Arabidopsis thaliana: one gene and its partner. The protein of the gene in region 1 interacts with the protein of each later gene in a pairwise test. Each region holds a gene or a part of one and is shown on either strand. Other genes may lie near its edges. The genes, in order: AT1G24210 and HB34.

Region 1 (9,573 bases):
ACCTTGTGAATTTTTTTCTGATGTTTTGTAGAATCGAAGAAGCTAATGGCAGTGCAAGGATGGCTGAAATCATTAAAGGGCACCCGAGGCTGCTTCTTGTTTTAAGTGTCTTCTTTCCCAAGTCTAAGCAATACGAAGAGGCTGCCAGATCCATCTCCTCCGAGGCTAGTAGAACCATCCCTCCAAAGGCAACCATACCTCCCAAGTCTAGCAGAACCATTTCTCCCAAGGCTAACAGAACCATCCCTCCCAAGTCGAAGAAAACCTTCCCTCGAGAGGCTAAGAGAACTATCCCTCGAGAGGCTAATAGAAACAGAATCATGCCTTCTGAAGCGAAGAAAACCATCCATCCAGAGGATAAGAGAACCACCCGTCCTGTGGATCATTTAGCCTTCTTCATTCCAAAGGCTAAGAGAACCATCCCTCCAGCTGAGTCTAATAAAAACAAAAAAAACGTTCCGCCAATTTTATGGAGAATCTTGAGGTATAGATTGCTGAAATGGTAAACTAATGGAAACAACATTTTGATGTTTAGTATATGTTAACTTGCGGTTTAAGTAACAAAATTGTCCATGTGCAGGCAAGGTTTCAGGGCTATGGTAGTCATGTAGTTAACTCAGTTCTCCAGATATTGAAAATGTACAGTGAGGGAAACAAGTCCAAAGATGAGGCGTATCAGGAGGTAGTGTTCTTGGTGGGACAATTTGTGTTGTATGTTTCACTCTCTTAGTTCTTTGGTTTGATTTGATTTGTTAACTTTGCAGGTCGTTTCACTTCTTCAGAATCATGTAGATTTAGTCATGGAGTTTGGCGACTATTTCAGTGGAATCTCTGCCTATAATAGGTTCTTAAGAGATGGAAAAGAGTAGAGCTTCTAACGAGAAGAGAGTGTTATAGTTTTCTTTTGTAAGACATTTGAGTTTAGTTTGATTCTTAGTCTAAGGAGAGAACACAACATCATCAAATGCACATATGCACCTCGGCCCAAGCTGAGATCATCCTAAATTCGTAACACAAAAGAAAATAAAAGTTTTTTTTTTTTTTTGCAAAAGGCTTAAAATAATATTAAAGTTACACCTTAAATATCTAAAACTTAAACCATAAGATGGTGTGTATTTTAATTTATTACGAAACATTATAAAGTAAATTTACTAGTATTTGTTGACCAAAAAAAAGAATAAATTTTTGAAAAAAAACTGTTGGATAATTCCAATTACTTGAGCAGCAAGTAATCTCTCTAGAAGATTTTAGAAGAGATAATAAGAAAATAGAAAATACAAATAAAAGTCAAGTTGGATAAGTTCGTAAGTTTTTCTATTCATTATAAGATTAGGAGTAGTTTAATAACTATAAATAAGCGCTTATGGAGAGATGTTCCATAAGACACAAGAGAGAGATTAAGAGGCTTTAGAGAGTTGTTCTAAAGACCTAGAGAGATTTAGTTTTGAGTGAGTTTCTAAATCATATATATGAAAGTTGGCCAATACTCTCCATATGAGTGACACATTATCATACAAGAAAATGACATGTGTTATTATACATTAGTTAAATTAAAAAAACTAGCAAAAATAATTGAGAAAAAATCAAAAGTCTTTTGTTGTGTTAAATTCTCCATTAATATCACTCTTAAATGAATTTTCTAAGAATAATCAATAAATAAAAAATCATAATAATGTATCAAGCACTACTTTCATTCTTTTCTACTTATTTTATTAATTTTTTTATCAATAGTTATTAACCCATAATGGCTAAAATTTTACTTGTGTTGGAGTTTAGATGTTTGCTACCTAACCTCATATTAATTTAGTAATTTTAGTTGGATATTTTTTTATTATTATGTTTTGTGAATTTGATTTATCATATGACCTTCTTTATGTACATTTCACGTAATAGTCATCCAAGACATTAGACATACAAAAAAAAAAATGAGACTCTATATGACTTTATGGTAGGGATGAAAATTACAGTGTTGACTTAAATTACTAGCATATCATGATGTGATTGTGTACTAGATGACGAGAGAGTATATGGAATAAATAATCGTTTGTTACAATTAAGTTAGACAAGTTTCAAAACACATAAGTAATATAACTACATACTGTACATTGTATCAGTATATCATATATTGTTGTAGTATGTGATCATGATAGTGAAATATTAGAATAATAAATATATAAATATACATATTGTAGTAGAATTGATATTTCGAGTTATAGATGAATCTAATCATAAAAAATAATAATTATATTAAATAGATAAATTTATCAAAATGAACATCAAAATCAACAAAAAACCATAATCATATTTTCCAACAATTTTAAAAACAAAAACCCATGCGTAACATGGGTGTTCATCTAGTTATAATAAAGATAAATCGTTCTTTAATTTGTTCTGTTCTTGAATCACGTCACGAATCATACAGAAACTAAGTTACAGCTAGTCGGCTTTGATTTGAAAAACTACGAAAGTAAATTTACTAAGTTATTTTCAGATCTATGGCATCAATTCTTTTGAGTTTTGACATGTAGTCTATTTTTTAATATCAACTAAATATATAATTTTAATACTAAATGCTACATTGTAATATTATAATATATATAAAAAATTGTAATAGTAAATCCTACATTGTAACAAAAGTGATTTTAAAATCTCGAAAAAGTTGAAGTAATAAAATAAAGCTTTGACAGATATGCTTATAAAAATTTACAATTTAATTTGTTATTTACTAAATTTACATTAAAAATCTGTAAATTTTAATAAATGTCAAATTTTATTTACAAACTGACATGTGTTTATTTCATTTAATATTACAATACAATTATATCTCATTGCTACAAAGATATTAATAGCAAATGGACTGATTTCTGCAAGGTTTTTGATATATAAAGACACCCCATACAACTCAAAACGATTCATGTCCTAGTGGTGAAGCTTCTACCCGTAGTAAATTTCTGGTTTGCTTTTCCTTGAACTTTTTTACTTTTATGGTTTGTTACTCTGAAGTATTTTTACAATTCTTCTTTGACTTTACCGATCTAAAGTTGGTTATTGTCATGTTTATTGCATGTACTGTTAAAAAATCCGAGTAATTGTTAATTAAGATCTCTGATGCAAATTCCTGTTCTTTTTTCCAACGATTTTAAGTTACTTTTAAAGAAAAGAGGTAATGTGTTTGAGAAGATAGAAATCAAAATTAAATAATTAATTTCTTCAGTGAAAACAAATAATAATAAAAAATCATTCTCTTTGTTTGGAAAATACAGCTCGATCAATTGAAAACCATGTCGGAAGGAGACAGTATATTTGTGTATAAAGGAGACAAGCCGAAGCCAACCAAAATTGATGCAAAGGCATATATTAAGGCTGTGAAGGATCATTTTCATAATGATAGAAAAAAATATGAAGACTTTCTTGCGATTATGAAAGATTTTAAAGTTCGCAAGTATGTGATATACATAGTTTTTGGAAAATATGACTAAAAATGTTCGGTTCAATTTTTTCGTGTTGAAGAAGTAATTAATTTTGATTTTATAACTTCATTGCAGAATTAGTAGGGCTGATTGCATAACAGCGGTGAAGGAACTGCTTAACGGAGACCAAGACTTGGTTTCTGGTTTCAATGTATTTTTACCAGATTGGTTGGAGATCTAATTATTAGATTGGGGCATGAGATGGGTAGGTGATGTTGTGGGATTTCTTCGTTCGTCTAAACCAAGTTCGGTTTAGATTTGTATTAAATTGAATAATTTATTTGTGATTCGTTCTTTTATTTATTTATTTAGGAATTATGTTATGAATTTAGCCATTGTGTTTTATAAATAAGGCTGTATGATCTTTGTTGCTTTCAATTAACTTCATAATATTAATCTTTTTTCAACTCGTTACTCTTATTATTCAAAATATCTTAAAACGCTAGAACTTCACATTAACACATAGTATAAAAAGCAAAGTATACTAGGTGTTGTTATCAAATTTATACTAGGAATGTATACTAGGTGTTGCTATTGACTATTAATTAGAGTTGTTGAATGTGATGTTGTATTAGAAAATACTGTAGTTCCTAAACATTAACCATATCAAATTAATTTAACACATATATGTATGTAATGTTATGTCAAAGTCAAACTAAGAAATATATGTTTTGGGGAAATTATCTCTTTAGTCTAAACATTAATCTCTATTTTCGATTAGATCATCCCTATACTAAAATTAGCATTTCACATTTTTTACTTTTTTTACTTTTCTCAATTAAAAAGTTTTAATTAATTAATTAAAAAAAAGAAGAAGATTTGCCTTTTTCCTTTTTTAAACCGTACTTTTGATGTAATCCTTAATTATATAATCCAACGTTAAGTGTCGGAAACTAAACCCTAGAGAAATCTCTTCTTCTAGTTCTAGTCTCCTGCTTCTTCGAGATCGTGTGTCGTAACTCGTAAGCTAGGGAAGCCCTTTTTGTCTTCGAATTTCGGTAACTATACGATGATCTTCTTCTCTTATTGTCATTGAATGATTTTGTAGTTTCTGGGATGATTTCGAATTGGGTTCTTCGAATTTAATTTCGTACCTGTGTGATCAATTTTACCTGAATTTCATCAAATCCGATTTAAACCCTCAAATTAGCGAATTAACTTCTTATTGTTTTTGTTAAGACTGAGATTTTAAGACTTCTAAGTGTTTGGTTGGTTTGCTCTGTGTTGATATTGGCCACTTTACACAAGTTCTCACGTTGGTTCTGATGGGAATGAATTAGTTGTTGTTGATTTTGGTTTTGACAATTATTTGGATTTTGAGAAATTTAGCTTATTGCAGCTTTATGTCTTGTTCAATTTCAGTGTTGAGGCAAATCATAGATTTAAGTAATGTTATTAAGATTTCTGCACTCTAGGTTCTGTTTCTTCAAGTGGTAATAATAGCTTCTAGGTTAAATTCAATGATGTGATCTGTTTTACTGAACAAAAATCTTCTCTTTCTTTTGATAACAAAAGGCTAGATTCAAACCATGGTTGGAAGACGAGTATCACCTGCTCTAACTAAGGATGATGCGCATTCATACATCATTGCTGTGAAGGAAACATTTCATGATGAACCTACGAAATATCAAGAGTTTATCAAGCTCTTGAATGGTGTTTGTGATCATAGGTATGTATTCTTTTCTTCCCTGTTATATTTGGTTTGGTCTTTACTTTCAACTGTGAATTGATTCTGATGTTACTAGTCTCTTTTTGCAGAGTCGATAAATATAGTGTCATTGCAAGGGTGGAGGAACTGATGAAAGATCATCAGGATCTTCTTCTTGGTTTCAGTGTCTTCCTTCCACCTGTTTCTGTAGAGGATTTTATAAACAAGCTCAAGGTAAACACATGCTAAAATGACAAATAATCCTTGGAGAGAAACACCAAAATCCTTTTTTGATTCCTCTTTTACTAACTAGAGCAAATTTGTCCATCTGCAGACACGGTTTCAGAGCCTTGATACTCATGTAGTGGGGGCAATTCGCGGGTTAATGAAGATGTTTAAAGAGGGAAAGATGTCGGTAAAGGAGGTGCAAGAGGAGGTAATGTTTGTTCTTGGTGGGCTATTTTGTGTACTTGTGTTTTTTTTTTTTTTTTTTGGTTCTCTTTGTTTGATTTGGTTAGAAATAATATTATCTTGCAGGTCATTGATGTTCTCTTCTATCATGAAGATTTGATTGAAGACTTTCTCAGATTTTTCACAAAGAACCCTGTATCAACAGCATCACTACTACTACAATTATAACGAGTGATGTATTTTTTATGAATGAGAATGGAGTGTATAGTTTCTTTTGTAGAGGTTTTAAATCTTTGCTTTTCACCATGAAGAGGATGAGATTTGAATTTGATATACTCAGATGATTGAAACTCAAAGTGTCACAAAACTCAAAAATACTTCTCATAACCTTATTTTGTTTATGTTGAATTTTACTGATGAAAAACCTATGAAAGATCAAACATTTTTTTAAAACTCATTTCTTAGTTTTGTTATGTACTTAATTAATGGTTGTTAAAAAAAGGGTTTTGTGTAAAAAAACACTTCGAACTCATCCATTTTTACAATTTTATCCTTCACCTCCAACATATTGAGATTAATCCTATGAAGTCTAAAATAATACGCATTGTAACCCTTCTTTGTTTTTTTCTTTACTATTAATTTTGTAAAATATTGACATGTAATATATTAAATCTAAACCCTCACGATGAAGAGTTCAACTCTGCCTTCAAAATTTTAAAATTCTAATGTATATCATCGTAAAAACGTTTACAATATACGTATAAATGTCATATTGCGTATTATTTTAAACTTTATAAGATTAATCTGCATATATTGGAGGTGGAGGGTAAAGTTACAAAAATGGATGATTTAACCCTTTTAAAAAAAGTACATAATTAATTAAAATACACCAAATAATAAAAAAAAATCATTAAAATAAATAGAAAATCTTACATAACCTTGGAATCATAATACATAAACAAAACCCTACCGAGACTAGAAACTCGTCTCCCCTGCTTCGTGCTCGTGATCGTGAAGCCTTCTTCATTCGTCTTTGGTACCTATACACATGTGTTCTTCTTCTTTTTTGTGTGATCTTCGTTACGTCCACTACAAGTTTTATTTTCTTTGTTCATTGCCTTTGTAGTTGCTAGATCTGTTGCTTGTTGTAATTTGTATTCGTGGGATGATATCGAGTTCCTTGAATATATTTTTCGTAATATGTGATAAGATATCAAATCCGACTGATGAAGTTTAATCAACTTGAAGTCTCAAAACTAGATATGAGTTTTGTTTTGTCCCCAATAAAAAGTGTTAATCTAATCCCGTCAGACTTAATACTATGGCAATCTCTGAATTGGGGTATCTTTGGTTAAGAATGAGAGTAGGACATATCTAAATCCAATACTTGACTGGTTTGCCCTGTGTTTGAATTGACTACTTCACATGTGTAGGTTACGTGTGATAACTAATAATGGATCACCTTGAGGAATGAATTGTTTTGTTGTTAAGACTTTGGGGTTGTTCAAGGATCCAATATTTTTTGAAGAAACCTTGCACCATCTTTTGATTCTAATAATGTTTCACCTTTTTTTTTGGCTGCCTCTCTTTGAACAATAAAGCTTTCCTAAACTTCAAACCATGGTTGGAGAAGGAGGCGCACACAAGCCTACTACAAATGACGCGCTTAAATACCTTAGAGCCGTGAAGGCTAAATTTCAAGGTCAACGTGAAAAATATGACGAGTTTCTTCAGATCATGATAGATTATAAAACTCAGAGGTTAAAGTTCTTTCTACTTTTATGTTTGCATTTGGTCTTGGTTTAGGTAAAACTCCATGGTTTCTGAGAACTGATTACCGACTATTGTGTTGTATAGAATTGATATATCTGGTGTTATAATAAGGATGAAAGAACTCTTGAAAGAACAACAAGGATTACTTTTGGGTTTCAATGCCTTCTTACCAAATGGTTATATGATCACACATCATGAACAACCTTCACAGAAGAAACCTGTCGAGTTAGGGGAAGCAATTAGTTTTATTAACAAGATTAAGGTATATATGTTTATGTGTTATAAACTGTCCAAGGAAATTACTGCTTTTCCCTTTCCTACTCTCTTAGTTATTCATTCATTTGCAGACAAGGTTTCAGGGCGATGATCGTGTATACAAATCAGTTTTAGACATTTTAAACATGTACAGAAAGGATAGGAAGCCCATCACCGCGGTCTACCGGGAGGTAGGCTCATTGATTCATACTAAGTTTTTTTTTTTTTATTGCTAATATTTTACTTAGTTTCACACGTTTATCTTATCAGGTTGCCATCCTATTTCTAGATCATAACAATTTGCTTGTGGAGTTTACTCACTTTCTGCCTGCTACTCCAGCTACTCCAGCAACAGCCTTGTTGCATTCACAGTTTTGCATAGATCATCCTGATTTGCTTGAAGAGTTGGATTGCTTTCTGCCAACTATTTCTCAGAGTTTTTTGTGACGAAAGGATTGCTATGTTACTTCAATCGCTTCACATATAAGTAGTTTTTTTTTTTTAAAGTTACAAGTCAGAGATAATAGTAGAGGTTTTTTCTTTTTAATATGCATGATTAATAGCTTTCTTTTCCCTATAAATTATAGCCACTATCAAAATTCAAAATTACCATCATCTATAGTTATTCAATGCTTTTTTTTTTACCTAGTTATTTCAATGCTTACCTATGAGTTTACTATGTGTAACATGAGGATAAGGGTTATCGGAATTATTCTACGAACAAGGTGACAAAGTTTTCGGTCTACCGGAAAGATAGTAATGCCGATAAAAAAAAAATGAATTTAAAAGGCGAATAATATGTTCCGTTTTTATGGTTTTAATCAAGTTAGAGTTAAATTATTCTTCTATTAATGTTAGCCAAATATTATTTTTTAGATTTAAGCAAAATCTAACCGTGTAATGTAATATAGATTCCATTTACATCAATGATTTTAGAACATTTTTTCCCCATTAATAATTTTGATAGGTTTTGCATTAAGTAATTAACTTAGAAATTTTAAGAAAAAACATCTATGTTGACCAAAATAAAGAGAAAAAAAACATCTATTAATAATATGATTAATCATCTAAAACTTTTTAATTACAAAATTATTTCCAAAAAAAATGAATAATTTATTTTATATCAAAAATTTTCAAAATTAAGTATGTCTCTCTCACATACCAAAGGAGATAAAAACTTCCAAAAGAAAAAAAATGTTAAAAATAATAAAAGAAGAAGATAAATTATAAGTCTCCTAAAATGATACAACCAACAAAAGGAAGTAATAAAAACAAGAAAATACAACTTTGATTTTTATTTTATTTTTTGTCAACAGAAAAATGAAATAAGTAAGTAAACGAAAAATTTAGCGAACGAGAAAGTGTATTAAATATGTAGATTTTAATTTACTTAAGAAGACGTAAAACTCCTTTGAGAGAAATCTCAATCCTTTCTTCATAAAAACATAAAACTCTCGTTTGCTCAGTGAGTCTTTTCTTTCTGTCTGAAAATTGTTGAATAGTTTTTGTCTTCTCAGCTGTTTCGTCGGAGGAAGCTTCTTCTTCTAGACTTCTTCTTCTTCTTCTTCTTCGTCTTCTCTGAATTTCTTCGGTAAACTCTCTAACACATAAACGATGATGATCTTCTTTCGTTTTTTATCCTTTCTGTTTGATTTTTGGGTATTACAATTTTAATCGTGAACTGAATGTGAAATAATCTGAGGATTAAGTTAAGATCGATTTTTTCTGGTCCGTCTCCTTTTGTTTTTTCTTCATAAATTGTTTCTGTAGCTGCTAGATCTACAGGTGTTGCTTATTGGGATGAAATTCAAGTTCGGTTCTTTGAATTTTCCTTGTTTATGTGATTGATTTTGAGTTTTACTAGGTTTTGATTTGTAGATGAACATGAAGAAAGTTGTTTTCAGCTTTTGTTCTTTTGCTGAATCCCAAATTTTACTTGAATTCTCTAAAGAAACGTTCTTTGGTCTTATGAGATGTTGAATAGCTTTCTAAATGATCTGTTTTTTTTAATGGTAA
Region 2 (9,657 bases), on another chromosome or scaffold:
TTTACATGTAAGAAGTCTATATGCAAAACATTAATAACGACAATTTTTTTTTTAGGGTGAGTTAAAAATCTATATATGCACCATCAAATAATTAAAAATCTATACATGAAGATCATTTATTTAGGTAATTTTTTCAACTAAAATTTATATGACAAATATATCCCTACAAAGAGATATGATAAAAATCAGGATAGTTAGCAGATAACAAATTATCGAGATAATATTGTTAGCGAAATATGGATGGGGTTTGATGCATGGATGAAATGACATGGAATACAAACCAACTTAATATGTTAATAATATATTTGACGATATAAACAAATTTTCAGTTATTGAACCAATGTTTAGATTTCAAAGACACATATGTATGCGAAGACGATAACATTACTATTAAAAGGTAACAAAATATTTAGCATGAAGAGCAAAAACAAAATAACTTACGACTGAATAATCATGTAAAAAAAATACATGCATCAGAATAGTTAGCAGATAATGTATTATCAGGATAATATTGCTAGCGAAATATGGATGGGGTTTTGATATATGGATGAAAAAACTTAAGATACAAACCTACTTAACATGTTAATAATACAGTTGACGATATAAACAAATTACCAGCTATTGAACCAACGATTTGATTTCAAAGATTGTATAATTATGAGAAGATGATAACATTATTATTAAAAGGTAACAAAATATTTAATGTCAAAAGCAAATAAGATATAGAGGTATAAAGGTATTTTCATGATGGAGAGAGAAGGCTCAACAGTAGCTTTTTCTGACACTTAATTTTGTAATTTTCTATGTATACATATTGATAATACCCTTTTTTTTAACCTTGCAAAACGATCTCCAATTACCAGATATGAAGTAATCGATGATTTGAAAAAACTCTTTTTGAAGAAAGTCATATTTCTTGGTCCAAAAGTGTGTCTTGTTTTCCATATAACCCACATCCATAGAACGCGGCTTTGTCTCCTACAACCTTTAGAGACACCGCTTGAGCACCCATTATTCCAGAATTTAGTGCGGGAGACGAGTTCTTATATCAAAAAATGATGAACAAAAACATTAAGTTAAGTATCAATTTCATATAGTACTAAATATCTACGAGTAAAGGAAAAATTCAATTAGATACTTTACATAGAGAGGGAGAGGGAGAGAAAATTTCACTAGAAACTATATATTATAGAAAAACAATTTAATTAGATACCATAAAACATATGATTTTTTTCATATGAGAAACTATTAAATATAAACTATCTACAAAAGAATAAAAAGTTTCATTAGAAACCACAAAAACAATGAAAACAATATCTCAAACGGTTAAAATTAGATAAGGTTCGTCTAATTAGGCGTTTGTAAGAATTAAATATAAATTTATTTGATGATATTTGAATTCTAAATAGTAATTCATACTTTTCTTAATATTTTAGTTAGTTATTTTTTTAAAAATCAAATTTCAATTATTACCATTCTATTTTGTTATACACGTTTTTCCTTCAATTTTCTAAAAACTTTATCAATCTATTTCATAATAATTATACACACTCCATCATATTAAAGTAATCTACACTCTATTTCTATATTTAATTTAGTATATTTTTTAAAACCAAATTTTAGTCTTATACATTCAATTTTACAATACTATTTAACTATCTATTTTATCATAATAAAGTTTGTTTTGATTCTACGAATTTTATCTTAATGGATAAGTGCTATGATTTTATCAAAACAATACGTATATCATATCAAATTTATATCTTAGTTAATATTTAAAAATTTAACATATAACAAAACATAATTAACAACAAACATTGTTTAAATTATAGTTTTTTATATTACCTAATCTTGTAAGTTAAGTTTACCTCATTTCAGTTTAATTTTAAATGACTTAAGTTTAATAAATAAAACAGACAATATATACTAAATAAAACAGACAATATAATTTCTATATGCCACTTTTCCAAATTTTTGGTGGTTTTACTTATGATTATATAGATTAAAATTCTTAAAATAAAACATAAATATAAATCTAATAATATTCTCATCAGGTATTCAAAAATTCAGTTTTATAAAGTTATTCTCTTTCAAATATTTTGTGTTTTCATTTAACGGATAAAAATATTATATAATGATAAATACAATTTTTATCTAATTTTAATACAATTTGGAAAGCATGCGTCAATCGTGAGTCTTCTAGCTTTTTGAGGTTATCCAGACAACTAACTCAAAATCCATTCACAAGAAAGTCAAAGGCTGAGAGAAAAAGAGTAGATCGACCTCCAACTATGCAAAATCTTCCATCCAAAACATTATACATTTAATAATAACAAAAATCTGAAATTTAAAATATATAAGAATATGCAATCTAATGTTGGTGTTAGTGAAATCGTTGTGTCATTATCCAACTTAAAACTCACATACTATATGTTTTTGACCAAAACAAAATTAAAATAAGACATCGTTAAAAGATAAAATAAAAATAGTGAAACTTAAGTTACAATGAATTGTGAAAATGAATATATATATATATATATATATATATATATATATATATATATATATATATATAATCAGGAAATAAAAGATTAGGTTGGAAAAAAAAATTATAATGGAATCAAATTTTGGAAGAGACTAAGTGGAAAAAATAGTGAAACTAGTTTATGTATATTTCTTTATATTTACACACTAAATAAATTGTATGAATCTTAGTGTACAAAAAAATAGTGAAAGGTGACTATTTTTAAAATAATAAATAATAAAATGATTGTTTTTTAAATTATATTTGGACAATGACTATTAGTCTAGTCACTAGTCTATTTAGTATATTTTTCAACTAATTAAAAAAAAAAAATACGCAGGTGGTCCTCGTGTAGAGAGACAAAAATGGTATTTATCTTTTTAAGAGTATATTATTAATGGTTTTTTAAAATAATTTTTAAATTAAGAGACATGTCTTATAATGTCTTATAATAGCTTATAACTAACAAAAATCTCTTATTTAAAAGACTTTAAAACACTTTAGTTAGATATAAGACATATTTTTTAATTAATAGTTATGTTAAGATACCATCAATAAAAATTGTCTAAGATGGAGTAATATAGTAATTTAATATAGTCCATTGGGCCACTGAAACTTGTCCAAAATCGTTTTACAGTATATCACTAATTTGGTTCGGGTCAGCTAAAAATATGTTCTTAATCTCTCGCGGTCTAAGTTAATAGCCACAGTTAGAAACTAATGCATTATAGCTAATAAACGTACAAAAAAAAAATATTGTTTTATCTTCTTCTGATAATCTGATTCCTGATCTAGAAAAATGTGGTTCCATCATTCTTTCGACCAAGAAAATAGAATAATTCTTTATCATCAAACAAAAAAAACAATAAAGAAAACTTAGTCCCCAACATAATATACATCTTATTCTCATAATAGACATCATTAACCATAATTTTTATGCACCGAATCTGTATATCTAATCCATGTACAGAAATATTTGTAGTACGAAATTCAAAATACACATAGATGCACATAATTTATTTGTGACAAAAAACGAAGAAGGCAAAGATTGTTATATCGGACGTAATATGTGGTTTAATATTTCACGTACCACTTAACTGATGTTTGATGGTGGTGTACGAACCGATTGAGAGATAATTAAAAAAAAAAATCGAAGGATCATATTTTTCGTGTTTGGTTACCGATCGATAGGTTGAATTTCTCGGTCCAATGATGCAATCATTCGTTGGAAAATAATTTGTGATTTCAGAATCCAAAAACATGCGTACAATACGACCTTCTTATTTGCCAATTCATTTGTATAGTGATTATTCTCATCACTATGGTTTAGTCATCATTGGCTTTGTTCTGAAATGTTTTTCTTTATTTTTTTTGGTTTTAGCCGTATTTTGCTTGTTCGAAAGAAGGAGCAAGTTGTGATGCTCTTGATGTGATCGCCCAGAAGAAACTTTGGCCACCGACTTCGTTTTTCTCGGCGATGGTCGCTTGGTACGAACACATTGGCCTTGGCCCATGGCGTTTGCTTGATTGTTTGTACACACCACCGCACATGACAGAGAATCATCAAAATTTGAATATTTTAAATAATAAATATAAATTACATATATTTAGTAAGTTCCGATACTAATTTAGATTTTAGTCTATGACCTTGAATGACGGTAGTTTTTAGACATTAGGTCTTAGTTTTAAACCCAAAAGACCGAATTTGATATAGGATCTATTTATGGTAACCGAAGAATTTAACTGCATATGACTAAAGACATGACTGGTTTAATTGCAGCGGACGGGGCTGTGGTTTCGCTTGCGGTTGCGGAAATTTGCGGAAGCGAGATATTGTGGTTTCAAGCGTTTTAAACGACTAATTTAACGTTTCAAAATAGATGCATTTGCAGAAATCTTATGACTAGATGCAATAATAATTAAATAAATAAAAAAGATCCAAAATAAATATAATATATAGGATTAGATACAAATATGAAAAGATATATACAGAATTATATATATTTATCTTAATTACAAATATGTTGATTATTTATTATTATTTTAATATTTTAATTCAACCGCTACCATCCACAACTACAAACGTTTGCGGGAAGGAGTTTTTGAAATGTATTGATATCGAGCGATCCGAGCAGTATCCCGCGATTTATATGATTATTGTCAATCACTAACAATTGTTACCACATGTAAATGATGCGTTTGCATGTAGTAGAAGGAGAACCAATCAACCCCTTAACTGATGATGGCTGAATTTATTTTAAAGGTGGCTGAATGACTTCAAATGATAACCACTGAATTTATTTGAGATTATTCATTTTTCAATATAGTTACCTGCTGGTAACATATATTTCCTCCATTCATAATAATATCGTTTTAAATATTTTTATATAAATTATTAATATATATTATATTTTAAAAACCAAACTGATTCATACTTTATAGATTTTACATTGAAAATTTAGAACAATACTTATTTTGGAAAAAATCTTTAAACAACAAAACAGAATAAGTATTTTTTTTAATATTATTTTGTGAAAAACAACTATTTAGTTTACAATAATACCTAATAGTATAAGTAAACTTTTACAAAGTTGTTCGGTAATTACATTGTAATAGTCAAATATACAAAATGCTAAACATATTTTAACAGAAGGAACAAATATTAGAATAAAGTAAAAAGAAGCCAACTTCAAAAAAAAACAAGAAGTGTCACAATGCATGAGAATATTAATTATAATTGGACTGTCTTTAGGTTTAAGACATTTATTACTCTATATATATTTCCCCACTCCCTATTACAGGTCCCACTTTTAACCATACATTTAACCATAGTTAAATCATCAAACCCTACCTTTCTCTGTTAAACATCTTCAAGCTCTGTCCTTTTATTTTAAATATATTTATTATTCACATTTATTAACATTTTTATATCTCTCCCTATTAAATTATTTTATTCTCTCTTAGCAACATTCATCAACCAGAGCAGATTCACTATCATCATCTTATAACACATCTTCTTCCTCTAAAGTTTATTTTCTTAAACTTATTACAAAAAACATGATCTTCAAAAGTTGATTTAATCTCTTTTTATCCATCTTCTTCTTCATTTCTCAATATCAAACTTTTCTTTTTTTGTAAGCTTAACATAAACCCTAATATTTTCTTGATTTTTTTCAAGAAAATAAAAACATAAAGATGCTTGAAGTTAGATCAATGGATATGACTCCAAAATCACCAGAACCCGAATCCGAAACTCCGACCCGGATCCAACCAGCTAAACCAATCTCTTTCAGTAACGGAATCATCAAACGCCACCACCACCACCACCACAACAACAACAAAGTCACTTACAAAGAATGTCTCAAGAACCACGCGGCGGCGATTGGTGGTCACGCGCTTGACGGTTGCGGCGAATTTATGCCGTCTCCTTCGTCAACACCTTCCGATCCAACTTCTCTCAAGTGTGCAGCTTGTGGTTGTCACCGTAACTTCCACCGCCGTGAAACTGACGATTCCTCCGCCGTTCCACCACCGTCTCTTCTTCCATCTTCAACAACAACCGCCGCAATTGAGTATCAGCCTCATCACCGTCATCATCCTCCTCCTCCGCTAGCTCCTCCGTTACCACGTAGTCCTAATTCATCTTCTCCGCCGCCTATCTCTTCCTCCTACATGCTTTTAGCTCTCTCCGGTAATAATAAAACCGCACCGTTCTCAGATCTAAACTTCGCCGCCGCGGCTAACCATCTCTCCGCCACGCCTGGCTCGAGGAAGCGATTCAGGACGAAGTTTAGCTCAAATCAGAAAGAGAAGATGCATGAATTCGCCGATCGAATCGGTTGGAAGATTCAGAAACGTGACGAAGACGAAGTTCGTGATTTTTGCCGTGAGATCGGAGTTGATAAAGGTGTTCTCAAAGTTTGGATGCATAATAACAAAAACTCCTTCAAATTCTCCGGCGGAGGAGCAACCACCGTGCAGAGAAACGATAACGGTATCGGCGGCGAGAACAGTAACGATGATGGAGTTCGCGGTTTAGCTAACGACGGTGACGGTGGTGGTGGGAGATTTGAGAGTGATAGTGGAGGAGCTGATGGTGGCGGAAACGTAAACGCCTCGTCGTCTTCGTCGTGAAGAAGAAAACATCATGTCGTTTTGCAGGGAAAGAGTTATAATAATGGAAGCTTAAGCTTTGTTTTTAGCTTTAGATCATAGAGAGTAAGCACTGGTATTATTATCGTTAATACGTTTTATTAATATTAATTAAACTCTTTTAGCTCTTTTTTAATTTTCCAATTTTATTATAATTTCATTACCACGACGTTGTCTTATTTTTCCATTTAAAGTAAGTTTATATCAACAAATTGGATTATGTTATAATAAGTCAATTTTGGTTAATTTAATGAACCCTAATGAGGAAAATTTTATAACTTTAATGTTTTTTTTAATAATATGTTTTTTGGCTTCTTATCTTAAAAGCATTTTGTCTTTTTAAATTGTAACGTTCCCAAAGGTTTCATAATACTTTTCCACTAATGGAAAGATTATATGAACTAATCACCCGAATTAGTCACAACACTATAGGTCAATTTAGGTAATCAAACGAACCCTAAAATGTGAGTCCCAAACATAAATAAACTATTGCAATTTAGTTAATTATTTAATATTATTTGATGGTTTCTTATCTTGAAGAGTACTTTGTCGCTTAATTTAATATGCGATCAAACTAAGATCTAGGTGTCCTTTTCATAAATCTCTCTTTATTCTTTGAGAAAAGAGACAGGTTTTGTTTTATATATTAATTATTCTAATAATATATTTTGCAATGATTAGTTATCTTGGTGTCTAATTAACAAAAGATTCATCGGATAATTCATTTTAATTTCCTCATTAATCCATTTCTTTATCATCCTTACATTCCCACTATCCGTTTTTGGTATATATGCTCAAGTGTTCGATATTCTTAAAGTGCAAACTACAAATAAGTATATATTATATAATTGGGATCTAACTATTATTATTAAAGTGCTATATAGTGTTAATTTAGGGCGTGGAACTAATCATTAACTTTACGAATAATTTAAATAACTTTCTAACTGGGAAACGTAGAAATGCAGCCGTGATTATGCGATAGGCTTAAGACAATTAGATACTAGTCGTGATTAATAAATGTCGGCTTACCAAACATAAAATATTAATAAAACTGTAATTAGATTAGAATATTGCATGAGAAAGCACAAAATATGTTATGTAGTATGCTTTTGGTGTCTAGGATTTAATTCTTAGAGAATACGTTTTGTCTAATTAGCTAGATTTATGGATAAAACTATCTAAAGATGTATAATATAATGTAGATAGAATATCTGGGTTTCTATGTGAATTGTCAATTAAATTTGACCTATGAATGAATATATGCAATGAATTTTATATTACAATAGAATTGTTTGTTGTGCATTCGTTTGTAAATACTAAATAGGTAGTACTATTAATTATGTTTTATAAAAAAAGAAAATTTTGGATTATATTATCATTATGGTTTTAGAAAATCAAATTATTTGTTGAATGATGTTGTAATAGAATAAAAATCTAAACAGTGATAATTCACTTGATTACAGAAATTTATCGAAAAAATCTGAGGTTCAAGTTTTTACTTAAGAAAAATGGTTTACGTTTTTAATAAGTTTTACTAATTAAGGGGTTTTTGGGTCAAAACTAAGGGTTGGTTCAATATATATGGAGAGAGATTTTGGTAAAGATCTATACATTATATATATATATATATATTTTACGTTATCACCAAATAGAATTTGTTAAATTTATGCTAATAAACAAATTAATATATATTTGCTATTATTTTACAGATTTCGTGAAGTCACAAATCTCTTTTTCGTGGTAGGGACAAACTTTAACACAGGGTGAGGTTATGGCCCTAACTGCCATATACCATGTGCACAGTGCACCACTTACTAATTTGAATTATTCCTGACGTAACTATTGCTAACAAAATTCCTACTTCTTATTTTAATTTATATAATTATTTTTTGGAAACATAGATGACCTAATTTCCGCTATAAATTAATTTTAGTGGAATATACTGAAATAATTTTGTGATGTAAATTTTAGTCGTTTTACTAATCACAAATTATTGATGGAATCCGATTTGCAGAAAACTATTTATCATATTTTTTAATATGAATTATGAACATTCTTAAAATACTAGTTCTGGTGTTTTCAATTAATTCACTCTCTTTTTTATATATTTTTTCATTTTATTCTAATTTTTTTGTTGTTTCTACAATTTTAAAATGCTAAAATCATATTCTCTATATTTTATGTATTATTCACAATTTTGCCTCCTTCCTCTCTCCCTCTCTCCTTCCCTCTCTCCTTCCCTCTCTCCCTCTCTCTCTTTCTCTCTCTCTCTCCCTCTCTCCCTCTCTCTTTCTCTCTCTCTCCCTCCCTCCCTCTCTCCCTCTCTCCCTCTCTCCCTCTCTCCCTCTCTCTCTTAATGTCTCTTACTTTTATTTTCTATATGTACTTTCTATTCTATTCTAAAAAAATAATATTATACATAATAAAATTTATAATATAACTATCACCTATATTATTATACTATTATCTCTACTACCAAGTCACCATTACCTTATCACTGTCTCACTGCTATAACCGTATTGTCGCCACTACAATCGTATTGCCGCCACTACCACCGTCATTTTTACCGTTATCACCACTATAATCGTTATCATCATCACCATTGTTACCGTCAATCCCACCACCATCGCTACTGTCTATGTCACAACAACAGTTTACCACGCTTGCTTGGGTTCCCAATATTGTATCTCTTAGGGTATAGTTTTTTAATGATGATCATATCGGTTTAACTCGGTCATTTAGATCGTCTATATTTTATTTCTTACGATTATCGTAGCTATTATTGCAACTTAAATTACTATCCCACCACCACTACCACCACTATTACTTTATTTAATTTAAAATATTTTGTTCTATTCTAAACTTAAAATTGAATTACGAATAATTTATGAAAATAGTATAGTACAACATTTTATTTCTATACATCATAAATAGTAGAATATAAATTTACTTACAAACATTATTTACTATTTTATAAATAC

What was found.
Region 2: the proteins of AT1G24210 (region 1) and HB34 interact in a two-hybrid assay, tested with the Arabidopsis thaliana proteins (one large-scale study listed by BioGRID).

What each region holds. Positions count from the first base shown.
Region 1 is NC_003070.9:8,569,954-8,579,526, reverse strand, and holds AT1G24210 (Paired amphipathic helix (PAH2) superfamily protein), read left to right. Parts: upstream 1-4,342; 5' UTR 4,343-4,468; intron 4,469-4,985; 5' UTR 4,986-4,999; coding exon 5,000-5,139; intron 5,140-5,228; coding exon 5,229-5,352; intron 5,353-5,452; coding exon 5,453-5,554; intron 5,555-5,655; coding exon 5,656-5,757; 3' UTR 5,758-5,983; downstream 5,984-9,573. Other genes in the region: AT1G24220 (paired amphipathic helix repeat-containing protein), read left to right, coding at 32-455, 581-682, 765-869; AT1G24200 (Paired amphipathic helix (PAH2) superfamily protein), read left to right, coding at 7,150-7,289, 7,387-7,564, 7,650-7,748, 7,828-7,896, 8,250-8,354.
Region 2 is NC_003074.8:10,937,599-10,947,255, reverse strand, and holds HB34 (homeobox protein 34), read left to right. Parts: upstream 1-5,422; 5' UTR 5,423-5,719; coding exon 5,720-6,658; 3' UTR 6,659-6,951; downstream 6,952-9,657. Other genes in the region: AT3G28922 (pectinesterase), read right to left, coding at 908-1,042, 1,139-1,179, 1,214-1,223. UniProt on the Arabidopsis thaliana protein: Putative transcription factor.